Oryzias latipes: one gene and its partners. The protein of the gene in region 2 purifies or fractionates together with the protein of the main gene of each other region. This does not show direct contact. Links are inferred from orthologs where the notes say so. Each region holds a gene or a part of one and is shown on either strand. Other genes may lie near its edges.

Evidence for each region. Proteins that work in one complex are often made in the same cells at the same time.
Region 1: the proteins of c-fos (region 2) and cop1 purify together in Homo sapiens (affinity purification with mass spectrometry; 4 studies listed by BioGRID and IntAct, counting the BioPlex papers as one, with this or other methods). This does not show direct contact. The link is inferred for Oryzias latipes from reciprocal best matches to the Homo sapiens genes FOS and COP1.
Region 3: the proteins of c-fos (region 2) and stk40 purify together in Homo sapiens (affinity purification with mass spectrometry; 3 studies listed by BioGRID and IntAct, counting the BioPlex papers as one, with this or other methods). This does not show direct contact. The link is inferred for Oryzias latipes from reciprocal best matches to the Homo sapiens genes FOS and STK40.

What each region holds. Positions count from the first base shown.
Region 1 is NC_019875.2:19,746,807-19,753,187, reverse strand, and holds the end of cop1 (E3 ubiquitin-protein ligase RFWD2), read left to right. Parts: intron 1-114; coding exon 115-223; intron 224-331; coding exon 332-413; intron 414-486; coding exon 487-603; intron 604-2,075; coding exon 2,076-2,193; intron 2,194-2,705; coding exon 2,706-2,830; intron 2,831-2,908; coding exon 2,909-3,069; intron 3,070-3,210; coding exon 3,211-3,255; intron 3,256-3,535; coding exon 3,536-3,553; 3' UTR 3,554-4,575; downstream 4,576-6,381. Other genes in the region: xrn1 (5'-3' exoribonuclease 1), read left to right, coding at 5,866-5,940. UniProt on the Homo sapiens protein: E3 ubiquitin-protein ligase that mediates ubiquitination and subsequent proteasomal degradation of target proteins.
Region 2 is NC_019882.2:17,150,192-17,157,431, reverse strand, and holds c-fos (c-fos protein), read left to right. Parts: upstream 1-2,518; 5' UTR 2,519-2,663; coding exon 2,664-2,798; intron 2,799-3,156; coding exon 3,157-3,378; intron 3,379-3,473; coding exon 3,474-3,581; intron 3,582-3,694; coding exon 3,695-3,960; coding exon of another isoform or gene 3,961-3,996; coding exon 3,997-4,360; 3' UTR 4,361-4,844; downstream 4,845-7,240. UniProt on the Homo sapiens protein: Nuclear phosphoprotein which forms a tight but non-covalently linked complex with the JUN/AP-1 transcription factor. In the heterodimer, FOS and JUN/AP-1 basic regions each seems to interact with symmetrical DNA half sites.
Region 3 is NC_019874.2:23,402,115-23,408,676, reverse strand, and holds part of stk40 (serine/threonine-protein kinase 40), read right to left. Parts: intron 5,751-6,562; exon of another isoform or gene 5,521-5,750; intron 4,381-5,520; exon of another isoform or gene 4,281-4,380; intron 2,474-4,280; 5' UTR 2,465-2,473; coding exon 2,347-2,464; intron 1,878-2,346; coding exon 1,792-1,877; intron 1,131-1,791; coding exon 987-1,130; intron 171-986; coding exon 1-170. UniProt on the Homo sapiens protein: May be a negative regulator of NF-kappa-B and p53-mediated gene transcription.

The DNA of each region.
Region 1 (6,381 bases), on a different chromosome or scaffold from region 2:
GAATGAAAAAAAAAAAAGAATTTCAGATATGCACATATGAACAGGAAAAAAAAAAATTTCTGCCAGCTTTGGTTGACAAGAATCTACATTTGAAGATCTGTTTCTTCATTGCAGCTGCATCAGCTGGAGTAGTTATCATAAGAACCTTCTGGCTAGCAGCGATTATGAGGGAACCGTCATTCTGTGGGATGGATTCACCGGCCAGCGGTCCAAAGTCTACCAGGTGTGATGACTAGAGTTGAAAGTGTTGTGATAAAACTGTTCATATCCTTTTATCTTCTGACTGATTAGCCTAATCTGCAGTGACACCCTCCACTGTTGTTCTTTTCAGGAACATGAAAAAAGGTGTTGGAGTGTCGACTTTAATCTGATGGACCCCAAACTTTTAGCTTCCGGCTCTGATGATGCTAAAGGTAAAGATTTGGCCCTCGTCTGAACACGTCATCCTCATCAATCGTGTTAGAGATTTCCAACATTCTTTTTCAGTAAAGCTGTGGTCAACCAATCTGGACAACTCAGTAGCGAGCATCGAGGCTAAAGCTAACGTATGCTGCGTTAAATTTAGCCCAACATCCAGGTATCATCTGGCATTCGGCTGTGCAGGTAATTTCTTCAATCCTCACTTTATCTGCTTATTTTTCAGTTGGTTTAGTGTTTTTCTGCATTTGTTAAGAGGTTATATTAATTGAAATATCTTCCCACATCTACTTTAGTTATTCTGTTTCTGTATTCTGCAAGAAGGAACTAAACTCTGCTCTTATTTTGGTTCATGTTGTGTGCTTATTGAATAAAGCGTTTGGCAAAATCCTTAACAGCTTTTGTCGTCAATATAATATTACTAAATTAATTAAAAAACTGTAAAAGTGGAATCGTTCAAATTACCTTCAACAACCCCAACTCAAATTATAAACCACTCACTTTTATCACAAGTATTTTGGGGGTCTAGTTTCTCTTCTGAAATGCTTGTACTCTATAAAATTAAAGATTTTGTTAAAAATAAAATGATATAATTTTCATATGTTCTTCAGTCAAAGTTGGGTAGGGAGGTATGATTGTCATCGGCTGCATTTCTGAATTTCTTTGGTTGGTAACCATAAAATATTACATTTCAGAATTCTATGGGCACTAAACTCTCGTCATTCAGGAATTATAATAATTCTTTAAAAATGTCTTTGGAGACTTTTTAAGTCAATTTTAGTGCATTCTTCTACCAGATCTTTTTCATAGTTTGATTTTTGCTCTGTAAAGAAATTCTAGAGGTAATTTCTTAAGTTGTTTTTTTTTTTTACTTCTAATTTTTCACAACAAAAAGCACTTTTTTTTAACCCCTGAAAATGTTGCATAATGTAGGTGGAATTTATATATAAAAAAAGTCAAAACAGACAAGCTTTTAGAAAGAAAAGAGAACTGTTGCTCTCGCTTAAGATTTTGCAATTTCGGCTATTTAGATACAAAATACAAATTGATTTTAAACAAAGAGAGAGAGAGCCTAACTCCTTTTAACAGAACTGGATACAAACAGTGTTTTATTCTTTTTAGAAAGTAAAGGGACAATGTAGTGTCACGCTAACATATTCAAGGTTTTTCCTCAGTTAAGGAGCATTAAAAATGTTTTCTGTCATTGCTATATAATATTGTATTTCTTTTATTTTATTCAGCATCACATCTCAACTGTTTTTCTTTTTGTTTGTTTGAAAGACAATTAATCCTGAACAATCCAAAAGAACTTTATTATGTCCTGACAGAAGAATATCTATGAATGATCATAGATATTTTATTATAGGGGTATTCGTGTAAGTATTCTAACTCTGAGCAGAAACTGTGTGGTACTTTGCTGTAAGTTTTCATTCTTGGTTTACGTTCGGAGTGCAGCTAGGAGATTGGAAAATAAAAGACTAAAATAATTTTCTTTTTTTAGTACCAAAACTAACCACAGAGTTGCAGATCAGGAAAAAATGTAATGTTTGTGGTTTAATACCATCATGTTTTTATTGACAGAAAGCAACAACAGTTGTGCTTCATCATTTTCTGGCCCAATTTGAACATTTTGTGAAATTTATCTCTTTTGTCCGCAGACCACTGTGTCCACTACTACGATCTCCGCAACACTAAGCAGCCAATCATGGTTTTCAAAGGCCACAGGAAGGCCGTGTCCTACGCTAAGTTTGTAAATGGGGAAGAAATCGTTTCTGCGTAAGTCTGTTTACCTTTGCTTCCATCTTTAATGTTTTAAGTAATCGTGTATTTGTTTTTAAATGTTAAATATTTTAGTATATTTTAAAAATGCAATGACAGACAACGTCTTACTGCTTAACGTTTTCTATTAAGGACTTTAATTTTATTAATTTTAAAACTTTTATGTTAATAATACAATTAATAGAGATCATCCTGTGCTAGTGGCAAAACAGATCAACAAATATTTAACATTTAGTCTGGTTCCTATATAATCCTATATAACACATGAACAGAGGTGAGAAAAACACATTTTAAAGCTTTAAACGAGAGCCGCTAAGTTTATTTCTTTCACAGAAGCTAAATTGATTAAAATACGCTTTCATATTTTTAGCAGCTTTCTTGCATATTTAGACTTCTCAAACAATGCTTTTAAAACTGTAAAGAAACTACTTAATAACCAAAACTAAAAAAATAGGATAAAGAAGGATTTGTGCACACACATATAAAGAGTACATGTTCTGTGTTCATAGTTCGACGGACAGCCAGCTGAAGCTTTGGAACGTCAACAAACCTCACTGCCTGCGCTCCTTTAAGGGTCACATCAACGAGAAGAACTTTGTTGGACTGGCGTCAAATGGAGACTATGTTGCCTGTGGTATACGTTCATTTGAAACGTTGACGCTGATGTTTAAAGACTAGCCATTAATATAAAGTGTTTTTATGTCCATTTTAGGAAGTGAGAACAACTCCCTGTACCTGTATTACAAAGGACTTTCCAAAACACTGTTAACATTCAAGTTCGACACGGTGAAGAGTGTTTTGGACAAAGACAAGAAAGAAGATGACACCAATGAGTTTGTGAGTGCCGTCTGCTGGAGAGCCCTGCCTGATGGAGTAAGTGTCACTTCACTGGTCAACTATACTTTTTTCAATTCTGCCATTGTAAGCAATACTTTAAGGCTTTTGTCAATATTTTAAACAAGGCTTTCATTTACATAAAATACCTCTGATTTATTCAAAATGATTTGCTTTTAGGAGTCAAATGTTCTCATTGCTGCGAACAGTCAAGGAACTATCAAGGTTGGTGTTTTAAAAAATATACAAAAAAGATGTTTTCTTTTTAATAGTACCGTTAAATGTTTACAGCTCTTAAAAACATCTGTTTGAGTTTTTTTTTATTATTCCAGTATCAGTGCATAATTCCTCCCATTTAATGAGAATTTACCAGGAAAAAAAATACAATTGCAATTATTTGGGGGGGGGGGGGGGGGGAGGGGGAGTGGTTTGTCAAAAAATTGCTTAATAAAGAAAAAAATGTCTTTAAAACATCTAAATGTCTGTATCTATTCCTCCCTGACAGGTTCTTGAACTTGTCTGAATTCCTGCCAGGCTTGGGCTATCATGACCTCTATCTTTAGGGGGGCAGGGGTCAGCCGTGAATGGGGAGATCGCCTGCTGATCAACGGAGGAGCAAAAAGAAACGGAATCCATCTGTTATTTCACTGAGCTTTGTGTGCGTGTGACATCAGACAAATGTCGGCCCGTGGCACCAGTACAGCAGGCGGAGATGTGCCGGCGTTTGAGCTTTACCGTTAAAGAACCAAGCTGGGGCACAAAACAGAGGAAAGCGGTTTTGTTCCTAATCCGTCACAGTTTGTCAGCCACAATACAACACCTCTCTCTGGTTTTATACCAAATCTTATTATTTTTTTACTTTTGACTTTTTAACTCTTTAACCATTTCTGTCAAAGGCAATTCAGATAAATGCAACCTCCTGCATTTTGTCTTTTAAAGGCCAAAGCACAAAACAAAACATGCAAACTTAAATTCCCCCTCTGTCAGCTGTCCAGTTTATTCCCTATTTGTGTTGTTCTTTTTGTTGTATATTTTGTTTGTTTTTCCAGATTGGGAGACAGCAGGGTTTTTTTTTTTTTTTTTAATAAAGGTGACTTGAATTTCATTTTGTCAAGTGTACAGCAGTTTTTCTGGCAAAAGCAACGTAGCATCTCAGCGTATCTTTTTCTCAGAACAAAATGATACTCCACGTGTTTGTTTCTATAACCACAGCTATTGTTGCTTGATTCAACCTGCAGTTAGTGGAACTGGACTTTTTGATGGATTAGGACTGTTGTAAACTGATAACCACAAAGCCTCAGATGAAGTTCTTTCAAAGTAGCACTGGGATGTTTCTTTTTATTTTGTTTTTAATGCACAACTGCAGGCATGAACTGAGTATCATTGCATTTTGGGCGCCGCTACCAGTTTTTGTGGAGTTCCACAAGGACATGTAAAAAAAGAATAATGGAAGGATTGAAGAAGCCACCAGGATCTGCCAATTTTATGATTGATGAATAAGAGAGGTGTTTTGTATTTGCCTAACAATAAATTATTTAAAACATTTTGGTATGTGTGCTTTTTGAAAGTCTTTGATATTCTCTTTAATTACAATGCAATAGGTTGCTTGGAAAATATGACAAACCAGCTTTTTTTTTTTAGTACAAATGAGGAAATCTAAGATAAAAAGTTGAGGTTAGCACATACGTAATTGTACTAAGGTGAGGTAAACTTTGTCCTCAGAGAGGAAATTTGTTCCTGGCCACAGAGCTACTTACCTGAATGAGAATATTAACAGTACACAGAACAAATAATTAAAACGGGAATATACAGAATTTCCAACAGACCTGACTCACCGTTAAGAACACGAATAATAAAATGTTTAATTGAAACCTTTACCACAATGCTGAAAATAATTTCAGTAAAATGCATTATCAATTCATAAAAGGAAAAAAAATCTACTGTTGTTAAAACTAGGGACTAAGTATTACCCAAAATGATAAATACATATAATTATGCTCCTAAAAGCAAGCAAGAAGAAGGCCGATTTTATTTCTAGATGTCAAGTACTATATTTAAAAAGATATTGAAAGCCTATTAGAATGCCAGAGCTGTATTACCAAATACTGTATATTTTTTGTTTTTACCCTTAGTATAGTAATGTTTTTCTATATTTAATTTTTAGTCTCATTTTGAAAAACCAACATACAGATGGATAAACTGTACTTTATGCAGAGCTATACTAAAATAATATTTTCAGCTCTCGACTCAAGAAAAAAATACAAAATTGCATTTCTCTTTTGACTTTTCAGTACAATTTACCAGAAAAATTACATTCTTTAAATTATAATAGCCTGAAAATTAATGTAAAAAGGAAAAACGGTGTTTTTCCGCTTAGGTTCATCTGTTGAAGTTGTCGCAATGCCTACAACACAAACAAAAGTTCAACACAAATAAATGGAAAGCCAAACGAATTTATGTGCTAGTAACACTATACGCAGCCGTTCAAAAATAAACAAAAATATGGAACTTAACTATCTTACAAAGTACACTGTGTTGTGTATTATTTTTAGAAACCGCGTACAAAGATAAAACGTGTTTTTTCGTAAATCTTCAATCGAAAAGATTTTTGTCAACTGAAAAATACGCCAAAGGAAACTGGTGAGCGGAACTTATGTTTTACTGTTGTTTTCCAAATACATGCGGAGTAGTTTAGCGGATGGACAACTAGCTAGCAAACGGAAACAAAGCCGGACTCTAAAGCAAGTTCTGATGTTACCGAGTCAAACATTTGAGAGTACTTAGAGATAACCTTTCAGTGTTAACATTTTTACAGTCTAGAGCTTTGTGACGAAGATGGGAGTACCCAAATTTTACCGTTGGATCTCGGAGCGCTACCCCTGTCTCAGTGAAGTTGTCAAGGAACATCAGGTAGGACCGAGCAGTCAGGGTCGATTGTTTCACAATTCACACCTTTAGCATAGCTAGCCGTTTGCTACAGTTGGAGGCGAAACTTTGAGCCGCCTTTGCTCACTCTTAAGAGCATTATTTTTGAAAAAATAAATAAATAAATAATGCCACACGTGATAAAATAATTCTAAACGCACGACATACCAGACTGACATTCAGTACGACGTACGTCGTTTATATTCCTACACTAAGTTTAGCGCCCTAATGTTTTATTTGAGTTACTTTAGTGAGTCATACACTCTAAATATACAAATTTTATGAATGTATTGCTTTTTATTTGTAATTTCAATAAAATCTACATATTAATAATAATGAAGCCTAATAATTGTAAACAGGTAGAGCGTTATAATGTTAATAGCTGTTTAGTAGCCATAGTTAACAAATGGTGTGAAGACTTGCACT
Region 2 (7,240 bases):
TCAAAAAAATCGGAATTCAGCATTAAGCCCTGTAGTGTGAACGTAGCCTAAGTTCTGACCTGAACATAAAATGCTGGTATCGTCTGCAAAAAGTATGAATTTCATAATTTGTGATAACTTGCATAGATCATTAATGTGAAGTAAAAACAGAGTTGGTCCAATAATTGAACCTTGAGGTATATCGCATATGATACTCCTATTTTTAGATTTATTATTACCAATCGGTACAAACTGCTATTTATCCATCTATTTATATGATGTTTGATTAAGGAACTTTTTTTTCATTATTATCATTTTTAAATAAAAGTCATGCATGTAAATCTCTGTGAACATTTTTATCAATCTGGTTCCAAAGCAGAAAAACAGTTTTTAAACTTCAGGACTTTTAAATTGAAAACCTTTCACTTCTTATCCAACAAGCTTTCTCAATTGAAAGATCAATCCTTGATCTTAAAAAACTAAGTCCAGATGAACTTTTACAGACTTGTTCCTCCATGCATATGTCTGCAAGACTTTCTTTGAACTATTATCATCTGTATAATCCAGGTATATTTTAAGATCTGCAAACAAAAGTAGATTATGTTTTTGCATAACAGTTTTTGCACGCCCAAAGACCTGAAAGAACCGATAGAGTGTAAAGCAAACAGTGTCAGTGGGACTCATTTGGAAGCTTCTGTTCTTGGCAACCAGTCAGCCAAAGCGATCTAACAACCCAGCCGGGCTGCTCGGTGTCTGGTTTCATTCCGTTGCTCTATGGAGTCAGCAAGCAGAAAAGAGCCGCTGGTGAAACCAACAGCGCAGACAGAGCTCTCACTCTGCTCTACTTTCTCTGCACCTCTCATCCTACCGCTGCCGGTTTACAATTTAATTAGACGGAGGAGTCCCTCTGCAATACAGATACGATCTTTGTTCCTTCTTTTGCGTCACTGACGCGAAGGGGTTGGGTGTTGCTCGGCAACCAGGAATGTTCAACAAAACACAAAAGTGGGGAGAAAAGTCGTAATAAATGAAACACTGTCGTCCTTTGACATGAACAAATGACCACAATGACACCACTGTAAATAATTTAGACTTTAATTATTAAACTGATACATTTAAAATAAACCAAAAATAGTTATAGATTTTATAATAGCCATTACCACTTTTTTCTTTAGAGGGGTTATCATAAATTTATGTAAACATATAATTATGTAAAGTAATTGCAGCATATTATAGCGGTGCACACTTCTGCTATTTAATTACATTTTTATAAGAACTAGACATTAAAAAAAAATATAACAAGCATAATTCTGTATACATGTTACCTGGGTTCAATACCCAGGGCGTGCAATGAGCTGCCTGGGTCTCCCTGTGCCTTGAAAAGACAGGCCTGTGTCAGGAACGGCATCTGGCGTAAAAACTCTCTTCCAAACCACCTGTGCTGAGTGCTGTGGAGACTCATAACGGGATGAACCGAAAGGTGAACAACCTATTTTATAGATATTTCCATATACAAATCAGCAAGCAAATGTAAAACAAAATAAATAAGCAAAAGGTTGTCTTATTATCAAACTTCCTTAAGAGCACTGAGTCAGGATTATTGGCCCAGCTTCAAAGCTGCCTCTTGTTGTCCCTTTTAGGTGACAGTTGCTGAGTGGGATTTAAATCAAGTGAAAGGTGGAGGATTCCCTCTTTCCTTTGGGGGAAGACCTTTGTGAAGAGCTGGGCACACCTCACCTAGACTAAACTAATCCGCTGTCTAGGACAACTATTGCAAACAAAGCAATTGCGAGCTGAACACGCCCTTTTATGGGAACAAGCATTGCATCAGGGTCAGGGTGTGAACTTCTGTCCCACTTTGAACTGTTCTTAATTATGTTTATCCAAATAGAAAAATCACCGCGTGGAAAAAGATTTCCACATTTTAAATATGTGTCCAAATAAAAAAGTAAGATACAAAACTGGATAAAGAGGAGAAAAAAAATGAAACCAGAAGAGAACGATCATTTCCCTTAACTGTAACTTCGTGTGACATTTAATCCCCCAAAATCTGGATGTTTAGTTTTTGTTTACTGTTCTTGTTTGGGCAGAACAAACTTTTCGTATCGTTATCCCGTTTCTTTTGCAGTTTTTTTTTCAGCAGCCTCGCTGTTTGTTGTCTTACGTAAGGTCGTGTCGCCGCTCGGCCAATGTCGGATGGTGTGTTTCCCATCAAGGTCCGCCCCTTTACAGGATGCACCATATATGGTAAATGACGTAGGATTCGGGGATCCCGATCCTGTTTATGGAATATTCCATTTCTTGTCAAATTGAACATTAAACGAGCTCCAACGGGTTTCTTTTTGCTGTTTTATTACAAATAACTTGTGTTTTCGCTAACTATGACTGTATATTGACGAAACAAAAGCCATAATTCCCGCCACAGCGGCGTTGCTATGTGATTGTTTGGCGCTTTCACTCTCACGGTTTTAGGCTCCTCCCCCGCGCTGCGTCACACCACCAGGAGGATATAAAACCGATCTGAGCGGCTGGAGCAACTAGATCAACTTCGATTAGCAAAGTAGAAAGTCCTGCTCCATTTCAGAAGAAGCGCTCAAGGAACTTTCTCAAAGCCACAAAAAGGAATTTACCCACTTTTGAGAGGAGTTTTACTGGAATCTTCCTTCTTGTTTTCTCCGGGAAGTATGATGTTCACCGCCTTCAGCACAGATTGCGACTCTTCCTCCCGCTGCAGCACCGCGTCTCCGTCCGGAGACAACCTGGAATACTACCCGTCACCTGCGGGCTCTTACTCCAGCATGGGATCTCCTCAGTCTCAGGTAAATTGAAACGACGATTGCTTAGATGGCTTCACAGTCTTTTTGAACTTTAATTTATAATTAAATTGAGTGAAAGTCAGTGGGCCAGGTTAATTCAAAACTTTTTCAAATTAATTTGAACATTTTAGAATTAATAAATAAAACCTGAAAACAAGCTACTTTTTTTTTTTATAAAGAGTCATAAAAAATTAATTAAGGAGCATGTTTGTCCTGCTGCACACAGAGCAAGGCAGTTTTCACTCCACCGAGGATACATAACGTCAGAGCTGACATCATTGAGATATTTTTAAAGCCCAGTGTTTTAAAACCCTCCTGAAAGCATCACTAACTTCCCGACTCCCCTCCCTCTTTCTCTCAGGATTTCACTGACCTGACAGCATCAAGTGCCTCCTTCATCCCCACGGTCACAGCCATTTCAACAAGTCCAGACCTGCAGTGGATGGTCCAGCCTGTGGTCTCCTCAATGGCCCCCTCCCACAGAGCTCACCCTTACAGCTCCAGCCCCAGTCCTGCTTACCCCAGATCATCCCTGAGGTCTTCATCCAAGGCTTGCTCTTCCAAACGTGGCAAAGTAGAAAAGGTGAATTATCTTTTTTTTTTCTAAATCTCAAGTGATGCAACAGCTGAAATGTGTTTTTAGAGCTGGAGTCTCAACTTGTTGTTTTGTTCTTGCAGATAAGCCCTGAGGAGGAAGAGAAGAGACGAATCCGCAGAGAGAGAAATAAGCAGGCAGCAGCTAAATGCCGTAACAGGAGGCGAGAGCTCACAGACACCCTTCAAGCTGTAAGTATCCCTTCAGATTTACCCTCACTTATTGAAAATGTGTTCTTTCCCAGAGCTTAATAACCAATCCAACATCCCACTAAGTGACACTTTCTTTCTTTCCCATCTGATAGGAAACTGACCAGCTTGAGGATGAGAAGTCCAGTCTGCAGAATGATATTGCTAACCTGCTGAAGGAGAAGGAACGGCTGGAGTTCATCCTGGCTGCCCACCAGCCCATCTGCAAAATCCCATCAGAGCTGCAGACCGAGGTTCCCCTGACCTCAATCTCCTCCACCCACCCATACCTCTCCACCACAGAGTCTTCCATGCCCACATTTACCTCCAGCCAGCAAACCATCCCTCCAACTTCCAACTCTATTTTCTCCAGCTCCGTCCTCTCCACCACCACCTCGACCACCACGACCACCACCACCTCCGACAGCACTGTCAAGATGACAGACCTCGAGGCTTCCATTCTGGAGGAGTCTTTGGACCTGCTGGAAAAAGCGGACATAAAGACGGCACAGTCTGTGCCAGAGGTTGACCTTTCCAGCTCCCTCTACAGTAACCAGGAATGGGAGCCTCTTCATGCCTCTTCAACCAACATTGACTTTGAGCCCCTGTGCACACCAGTGGTGACCTGTACTCCAGCCTGCACAACCAACACGTTCTCTCTGGTGTTCAACTTCCCAGAAGCTGAGACCTTCCCCACCTGTGGCGTTGCACACAGGAGGGGAAGCAACAGCAATGACCATCCCTCAGACTCTCTAAACTCACCCACCCTGCTAACTCTTTAAGGACTTTCAATGAAAAAAAAAAGTATTTCCTCCCATCAAGTCTTGAAATATTATCAAACTGTGCAGAGGCATGAGCTTTGGAACAGGAATGCACCAGATGGCAAATCATATGTTACCTGCCTTTATCTCTACTTGCCTATTAACACCAATGTAGCAAGTTATTAAGCATGATTTATATATATTTAAAAAACAAACACCTAGTTGTTCTAAGTTACTATTATATTTATGGTGCTAGATAACAATACTTGTTGTCAATAAATGTGTTTTCAGAGCAATAGCTGTATAATTCTGGTTTGTTTTTTGTTATTTAAATGTCAAAGTAGATTTTTTTTATTTTATTTTTTTCATTAAACTGCTGTGGTGCCATGGTCTGCAAGTCCATCAGACTGTGAAGTTTTCTGTGAAAACATTGTAATTTATGAAATTTGTATTTATTTATTTTTACAGACGAATGTTGTGCAAATAAAAAATATATATTAACGCAGTTATTTGCCTGATTGTCACTTTAATCATATACCTATCGAGAATAATGTTGAGATATTATACACAGGTTTAATTTGAGTGTCTTCCGCTTTCGTAAGCGTCAGTAGCTTCAAGCTATTTTTCTTCTGTTGCCAAGGCTAACTGTACGTCAGGGCTTTGACGTCAGTGCGTTCTCTTGCATTTTCTTTTTGTCCTGAACGCCCTGCGCAATCACGTTGCACTTCCGTGCCCAAATATAGAATTCCAGTGGAGTCGGTGGCTGTGCTGCGGGCTGACGGCTCTTTTTTTTTTTTTTTTTTTTCTCACTTCCGCTTATATTCGCACATCTCAGGGGTTTCTCTGCAAAGAGAGCCACCGAAACTGTCGGTATATCCAACGGAAAGGAACAATAACTACGCTGGTTTGGTAAATTAGTCATTAGCCGTTCTGACCGAAAAAGACGAGACAACAGAGCGGATACAAGATTACGTTTATTTTGATTGACCGTGCCTGAGCAGGGCTTGTTTCGCTGGTACCAAAAGCAAATCATTCTGAATACAATATTTTTATTTTATTTCGTTTTGTTTGATCTGCAGGGTTCATGCACTTCAGTTTATATCAGAATGAAAGAAAAAATCTAATTCTTTATTTTTTTCCTGTTTGGTTTATTTCAATCAGTAAAAACAAAATAAACAATTTAAAAAAGTACATATATCAAACAAATTTAAGACATTAATATGTTGTAATATAAAGTTTTACACAATTTCATATTTACAAATTAACTTAACACTTCTCAAGTTACGATTTGAAATGGTTTGTGTGTTGGAGATGTTGAGTGAAAATGATTTTGTGCACTCCTTGTAAATTTTGTCATAGGATTTTAATCATCTTTCATGTTTGCTCGTCCCTCATCAGTGCTTTTCCTCATGTCATCAGAAGGCAGGTTGCCCAATTATGACAGGAAATTCTGTGTGAGGACAGAATTTCAGCAGACTAAGTCATTTAGGTCACACTCATTTACGTTGCACAAGACAATGTCTAAGCATTTATTGCCTCATGTTATTGGGTGACACGTTAAAAGAAATCTGGTCTTTTAATACTTAAAAAGTGAAATATCATGCTTTAAAACCACTTGATGCTTGGAATAAATCTGTTTTGACCCCCTTTCTTTGATGCCAAGCAGTTGTTGCATAACAGGCGGATTCTGCTTGTCAATTTTTGCTTGCGCTAAAGCTCTTTTTTCCTTCATGAAACTTCTTGGTGTGACCACGCAGTGCCAGGAAAATCTATAAACGTCTCATCGCTGCGCCCGGGGAGACGAGGCAGCGGCAAAAATAACAGCAGGTGCCTATTGCTGCGATAACAGCAGCATCAACAGCAGTAAAATTAGACTGCTGTGACGCCAGCCTGCGTTGGTGCCGCAACCCTTGGGAGAAACCAGCCAGCGTACGCTGATGCAGGGAGAGGAGGAGGAGGAGAGGAGAGAATGACGGGTATACAAGGATGGCAAGGAGGGAGACAGACTCAGATCCCAGCCTCTGAAACTGAGAACAGCAATGATGAAACACTTCGCCTACATGCCAAGAACAAAAGCTCTGTTGGGACTGGCTCTGTTTTCACATAAACTCTTCCTCTGCCACTTTTCTAATGAAGGAAGGTACAGCTTTAGGAAGTCATTCAGTCTTTCCCTGTTGTGCTGTCTTAGATGACCCCACCCTTACTTTGACGTGTTCTCCCTACCATGACAAAGGTGGATAAAGGTGGAAAGATTTCATGTAATCCAAGGACACCAGTGAAGATCACAAATCATTGAAGAAAAAAAGGTTCAGCGCACTGTCTAGTGGGTCTTGATGACCCAACTCCCAATGATAAAGTGCCTAGGATAGCACAAGGGTTTCAAAGACAAACACTTCATTACAAGCTCTTTACCTTTTATTTTATTTTAAAGTTCTTTCTCTTAAACTTCTCACAAACCAAGTTTGGGCTTGAACTGCTGAACTCTCCTTGAATTTTCATCACCAGGAAGTGATAGGGAGCAGATGTCATCGAGCAACTGCAATCATCTGAAAGAAGTCACTCACGTCAGCACATGGACTTTTGAGGAAGTGGTGTGTTCTGTTAAACTGGGCTGGTGTGCCATTTTGACACAGAGCCAAAAGGTAATAAAGAGGTTATTCTGTCACAAATCATCTGATATGCATGTCAAAGTGGTGAAATATTTAACCCACAACCAAAATGTGAGTCAGGATAGCAGCTTGGGGGAAAATTCTGGTAAATTCAGACACTCAGGCTTGTGCACATATAAGCTTCTCTTTTCCTGCACGATGGGCTATTCTTGGAGCCTATTTGACGTACACAGCTGCAATACTGGAGGGATTTTTCGATCCAATAATTACCGTTCACCTACTGCCAGACTCC
Region 3 (6,562 bases), on a different chromosome or scaffold from region 2:
CGCTCACTCAGGCGCTTCTCCTTTATAACGTAATGCTGGAGGTTTATTAGATCTGCCGTTTTATCGCTGAAGTCATGGGCACACAAACAGTCCAAAACGAGGCAGATGCGCTTCTTCATCTTTCGCATTTTGTTGGCCTCGAGGTCTTCCACGATTTCACAGGCTCGGTCCTGGAGGACAAAGATTAAAAAGAAGGGTCAGAAAAAACTTAGAAAAGACACTAAAATGTTTCTGAAGGATTTTGTGTTGGAAAACAAAACGAATTTTAAAAAATGCACAAACTTGGAAGGTCCAGCAAATGGATTAATGCTAAAAACGAAAAAATGATGAAGTAAAACAACTGTAGGAGTACTGTTATAGAACAGGTTACGTCCATCAGCTGTGAGTGCATTTCTTAGGCTTCAGTGGCATTTTTGGAACCAACAGAGAGTCCCCTGCCTCTTTTCTAATCTGCCACTTAGAAGTCTTTGTGGCTTCTAAATGATTGATTTGTGTATCAAGCTTCAGGTTTAAGATACACATTGAACCCTTCTTTATATCAAGCTTACACAGGGGAGGGAATATACAGAATGACAGAAGGAGAGAATGCTGAAAGAATTACAACAGTAAAGGAAGGAGCAGACAGACAGGCAGGTGGGGGAGGTCATTGTGAAAGGATGCCGCAGGTAAATATTGCTTTTAATGAATATCTAACTTGACATGGAAAAAAAAATGAAAGGCTGAAGTAAATACAAGCCAACTGTGGAGTACTGACAGTGAGATTGTACAACTTCTTGTACTTGAGCTGTGAAGCTACACTGAAAACTGAAAAAGGCAGCCACTTCTCTATGGTAATGTTACTGCATTTACAAATCTCAATTACACAGAATGCACGCCTACACGGCACTGAGTGAAACACCCTCCTTGTGCCAATCACATACATTCAGTGCTAAAAAACATATTGCAAAGCCATTAACAGAAATGTAGCTTAAACTGTTCTAAAGTACCTGGAAAAGACCATGATGGTGGACCACCCCATCCTGGTTGTACAACAAAGAAAGGAGAGAATACTCTGTGTGCAGCAGCATCTTCCCCTGCCTCTCCTCCTGGGTCTCCCCAGCAGAGTCCACCCGCTCCTCCAGCGTCAGGATCTGTCAGGGACACACCACAGAAACACAAGAAAACCACTGAGCTTCAATTGACCTTTTTGCAGATTCATTAAACTATTGAAGGACCAATCATGGAGTTCAAAAGTCTAAATGATCAAAGCTGCTGGGATTGTTTAAAGTAAGATGAGCACTCCAACGGTATGGAGCCTTTAGTGCCTACTGTGCTGCTTTGACTGAAAAAGAAGCGATAAAATCTGCACCAAGACATGCGTGCCAAACCATCACACAATGCATTGGATACATAACTATTTGAAAATAGTTATGTCTATTTTTTACATAATAATTAAGCAATTCATCTTTGTCATGTGCTTTATTGATACCTAAGGATTCTTAATTTTGTCCGATAAAAGTTGATAAATCATGTAATAAAAATGGTAGAACTGGGGTGGGATTATATAAATTTCCTTCCTTCCACTCCCTTTCAAGCAATATTTAATTTTATGTCTAATTATCCTAGGTTTGGTATAGGTCTTTGTATGAATGTATAACAGCTGATTGTATTGTTTTTGTGTATTATTCTTACTTGATTGCTTGAAATAAACCATTTCAAATTAAAAAAAATCTTTTCATTTTTACTGTTCTTTTGAAGGGCAAGCATGACCAAACCAACAAAACAATAATGCGAGTCTGAAACCAAACTTACTTTGAGCTGATAGAAATCATCTGTGCCATCTTTTCTGGCCAAACACTGCACTATGCTCGGTACTGGTGAGTTGCCTAGGCGCGGTCCTGCAAGGATTAGAAAAGCAACAGCTGTGAGACCAAAAGGCAGCCTACATGCTGAAGTGTGTGCTCACACCACAACTTTCTATGTCCTGAGTTTGCACTCAGCCTTAGTGTAAAATACGTTTTTTTGTGCAAAATTTAGAAATTATGAGGAGGTTTTGTGGTGTAGATGTCTTGTGTTTGAAAAAAATGATTAAAACACATTTTCTAGGAAGAAGCCTTGCATCGACCCACACTGAAGCCTTTCTGGCAAATGTCATAGGGATCAGCGACATTCTTAGCATTCTTGTCTTAGCCCTGCATCAGCGTCCATTGTGCAAACACAAGACACCCCAAAACCTCACAGAATCATTTCCTCCGTTTCTGACTCACGCAGGGTTACAGTTTTGAACCACACACATTTCTACCTCAATAGGTTTCTGCGACTTTTCTGAAAGAAAAAAAAACAACAAAAAGCAGCTCGCTTCCATACCAAGGATGAAGGGGCCGGCCCTCTTGGCATTACTGCCAGATATCCCTGTGCACTGCAGCTTGCTGGTTCTGCCTGATGTCTCTCCAGCCCCCCTCTCTGACGAGCGCCGCTTGGACATCCTGGAGCTCTGCGGGAGAACAAATCTGATTAGTTCAAGGGATAAAGATAGTAAAGTTCAAGTGCATGCAAGGGGCTTCAAACTGTGAATGGATGACGTTTTAATAATTGATTTCCAGACAACTTTTTAAGAGTTTACAAATGTAGTTTCTTAGAAAGTAATGCTTCATGAAAATAAAAGGTGTGAAGGGGGTAAAGTTAAGGGCAGCTCCACCTAACCCATTACAAAAAAAAATCCCTCCCCTCACATTTAACCACCTCAGTGTGAAGATGAGGCCATTACAGCTCCATTTAGAATAATGGCTGCAGGCGGCAAGGGCAACACCTCACATTCAATCCCCCCCAAAAGCAAAGAGAGCGTGTCACAATCTGCAATTTAAAACGGAGGGCACTTGCACGCAAATAAAAGGCCATTGCACAACATTCTTGAAACTGAAGCGTTTAAATTTGATTCTCTAATCTGTTCCGGCCTCAGTGGACGTGGGTTTAGAAAAAAAGAAAAAATCTTATGCCCTTAATCTGCATGCTTAACTCAGAATCTTTTCAGCCGTCTTATCTATGCAGATGCCCCTAAAAAAACAAAAACAAATAAAACCTACATGTCCCAACAAAGCGAGAGCTCTGCACAACAGTAAGGAAGCACATTTAAATGGAACCCTAAGCAGTGACAGTGCATCAACATTTAACAAGCTGAACTCAGCACGCCAGATCGCAAGCACCTCCCAGAAATCAGATGTGAAAGGTTTGTTTTCTTAATACTGAGTTACCGTGAGGTGAAACCCCATCTGCTTCCAGTAATGGGGAAGTAGTGCACTAAACTGAAAGGAATGATTCATCCCGCAGTCTTCCAAAGTTTTCTTTAGACGTTGCTCACTTGTTCAATATGTGGAATAACCAAAAATAACAACAAAACTGGAAAATAACTTAAGCAAAATAAGAGATAATGACAGATACAAAAAAAACAAAACAATGACAGCTGGGGTCTGTTTAGTTTAGCAGTTCCATTTCAAGTACAATCCGGCTCAACAACCAACAAGGCATTTAGAGGAAAACTAACATAAAAATAAAAACATGTTGTTATGAGTGCAAAAAATTCCATATTTTCCCCCCTTTCTCCCAACCACTCAGGCCATCTTCCTGTTTCAAAACCAACAAAGGCACTCGCCAGTTGGTGTTTTTGGGCACAGACAAGGTTTGGACAGTTGGCAGTCGGTAAGGGCTCGTATGAATTCTCACTTCCATGAGGCTTTTTGTGATCCCAGACAGCAGACAGTGTCATCATCATGTCTCTCACCCATCTGTCTCCATCTCCACTAGTCATCACCCACTGAGTCTGATGAACTGAGGTTTTCTGACAACATTTGTAGTGCAAGTCAGAGTGACACAAAGTCATGCTGAAAATAGTGCAAATCTGTTGGATGCAAGAAGTAGACAATCAGGACTTGCAGTTGTTGTGAAGCTGCCCGGTGGGAACCTCCGGCGGATGCTAAAGTAAACACGCTTTGCGATACTTCCAGACAAATATTTTTTTTCATCCGAGAAGTAGGAAGGCTGATAAATATTTTAGGCAAACACCTTCGGCAAGAACCGGCAGGCCCCATTTTATTCCGGCACATAATCAGTAAATAAAAAAAAATGTAACTCATGCACCTTGGACTTATAAGACTTCACTGAGTCACTGACAGAATATGCAACGCAACACACAGACCCAAGGCATTTTATCTACCGACTGAAAACCTGCTACAGAGCTGTGGAGCCAAACCCAGACACAGATCTTAAAAGCAAAAGGTCAACACAACCAACGTCTGCACACTGACCTAAATGACATCAGCACGATGACAGCACATAGCGATCCCTTTCTGACACCACTGTGTTCCTCTGCACAGCCAGTGATCTGGCAAGCGAGGCGGCCTCTGCCTGCACAAGAGGGAGGACAGGAGCAGATAGAGCCTCTGAATCATATCATATACAAAAGGAGGAGACATGCTGCGAGTGCCCACGAGAAATGTGGGCTCCTTAAATAGTAGCAGAACAAAACGGCCATGTAGGTGTCTCGAGTTTCTTCCACCCAGACTTGATGCCTATTGTCTGGCTCTGCAAAAAAAAGGACTGCAAAAAAAAAAATAATAATAATAATCAGAGCAGCAAAAAATAGATAATTTAATGGAGTTACTAATTTAATCAAATTAAAGAATGCAACTTCTGTCATCTGCATTTATATTCAAACAAAAGAGTTAGGGAAAATACATTTAAGCTCATGAGCTCTACTTTATAGCTTTTGTTAAAATAAACCCTATTCTACTGCAAAGAGTAAATGCCCTTGATCACTGGACCACGGGGAGGACACAAGGTTAAACCGAAACCACCTGACCAAAATAACAACGAATGCACAGCCACTATTACACTGTTTGGTGCCATTTTGAGTTGCAAAGTCTGGAGATTTGAGTTGTGCTGGTGCAGCAGGCAGTGTGAACAATGACGAGTCAACGCTAACGCGGTGTTTACTTAGCGACAACCCACAATCCACCAACTGAAAGATGAAATGTTTAAAATATATCCTGTTTTGAACGGTTAATATTGCACTGCGGACGTGGGTGTTACACGAAAACACTGACCTTTTACGCTGCATTTCTTCCTGTATGTCCTTATTAATATATATATTTTTAAAAACCCGACACCAAGCTAGGGAATGCAAAACTTAACACGAGACGAAACCAGAATATACTGACCGGAGACGAGGCTACAAACGGGTTGCACTGACTTAGCCAGACAAAGTGGGACGCACTGCACTGCAGCGAAAGAAGACAGAGTTTAGCTTCCCGTGCGAACTAAGACCATTGCTTCAACCAAACTGCTCAAACAGACGCTGCTTCTTCACCGTGTTCCTTTGTTTACCAGAAAGGTTGAAATATGCTTGTTGGCAAACAACGCTGGCTAACGTCAAGTCGGAGCGGTCTGTAGCAGCCGGGAGGCCATTTAAACAAAGTAGCCAACACTTCAGCTGGCTAACAGTGCCGCGAGAGCTAAATAGCAACGCAGTCGACCCCCCTCGCTTACCTCGAGCCAAAACCACCGGGAAAGATTTGCGTTGACTGCTTTTAAAACATGGACATTTCTTGGTTCACGGCCACGGTGGGTGTGTGGGGAGCTCCTCGTTCAAACGACGAACGACACGGCGCCTTATTTTCGGGCTGCTTAGCTTCTAAGACTGAAATGAGCAATTAAAGAAAAGCCTCCGCTCCAAGCTGATCGCATCTTTCCACAGCGACAGCACCACCTGACAACGGAAGTGACGCACACTTAGATTTGATTGACAGCTTCCTACAACCAATGGCAACAGCCGCTGCACACCGATGATGACATTCTCTGCATAATAAAAGTTGCAAAATGAAACCATTACATCATGACAGTACTCAGTACTGGAAGAGTTGAATACGTTTACAAAAAGCAATTTTTAAAAAATAGGAATTTAAGTTTATCTAAATTTAAGATAAAAACTATGTACTTAAAAAAATTAGAATGAAAACAAAATCGATTGTCTAGTCCAAAAAGTTTGAAATAATTTACAATAAAATAAAAATCTAGGATAATAAGATGTATAGCCCTTTCTGTCTCAAACTAGTACTTCTATTGTAAACAAGTAGCTTCCACGCAAAGAATTGGTGTAAAATATTACAAAACCAGCATGTTCACAGTGTCAGGAGTTAATGAGTAAGTGAAACTTGATAAGTGAGACATCACACCCTAAATATGTCCTCTGAATAATACAGGAGACTTTAATATCACTGGGATACTTTTGCTGTCAAAATGCTTCATAAGTAGTGACATTTGTTTAAGACTGTTGGAGGAATGGTCTTTTAACATGCAACTGAGCTCTCCAAGAGGCAGTTTGTGACTCATTTGGTGTGTAAGCACATTTCTGAGTTGCTGACATTTCAGCAAGCCCACCTATATTCCCAATTTAGACTGGCTGATTGATCCTGAAGTCCACCCCCAGCTACCAGTTTCCAACAAGTGGGCAGATGTGACAGACACAGAGAGGGAAACCCAAATGGCAGAGCTTGATTTGAGTCGCACTGGTCCTCCTGTCTTGACTCAG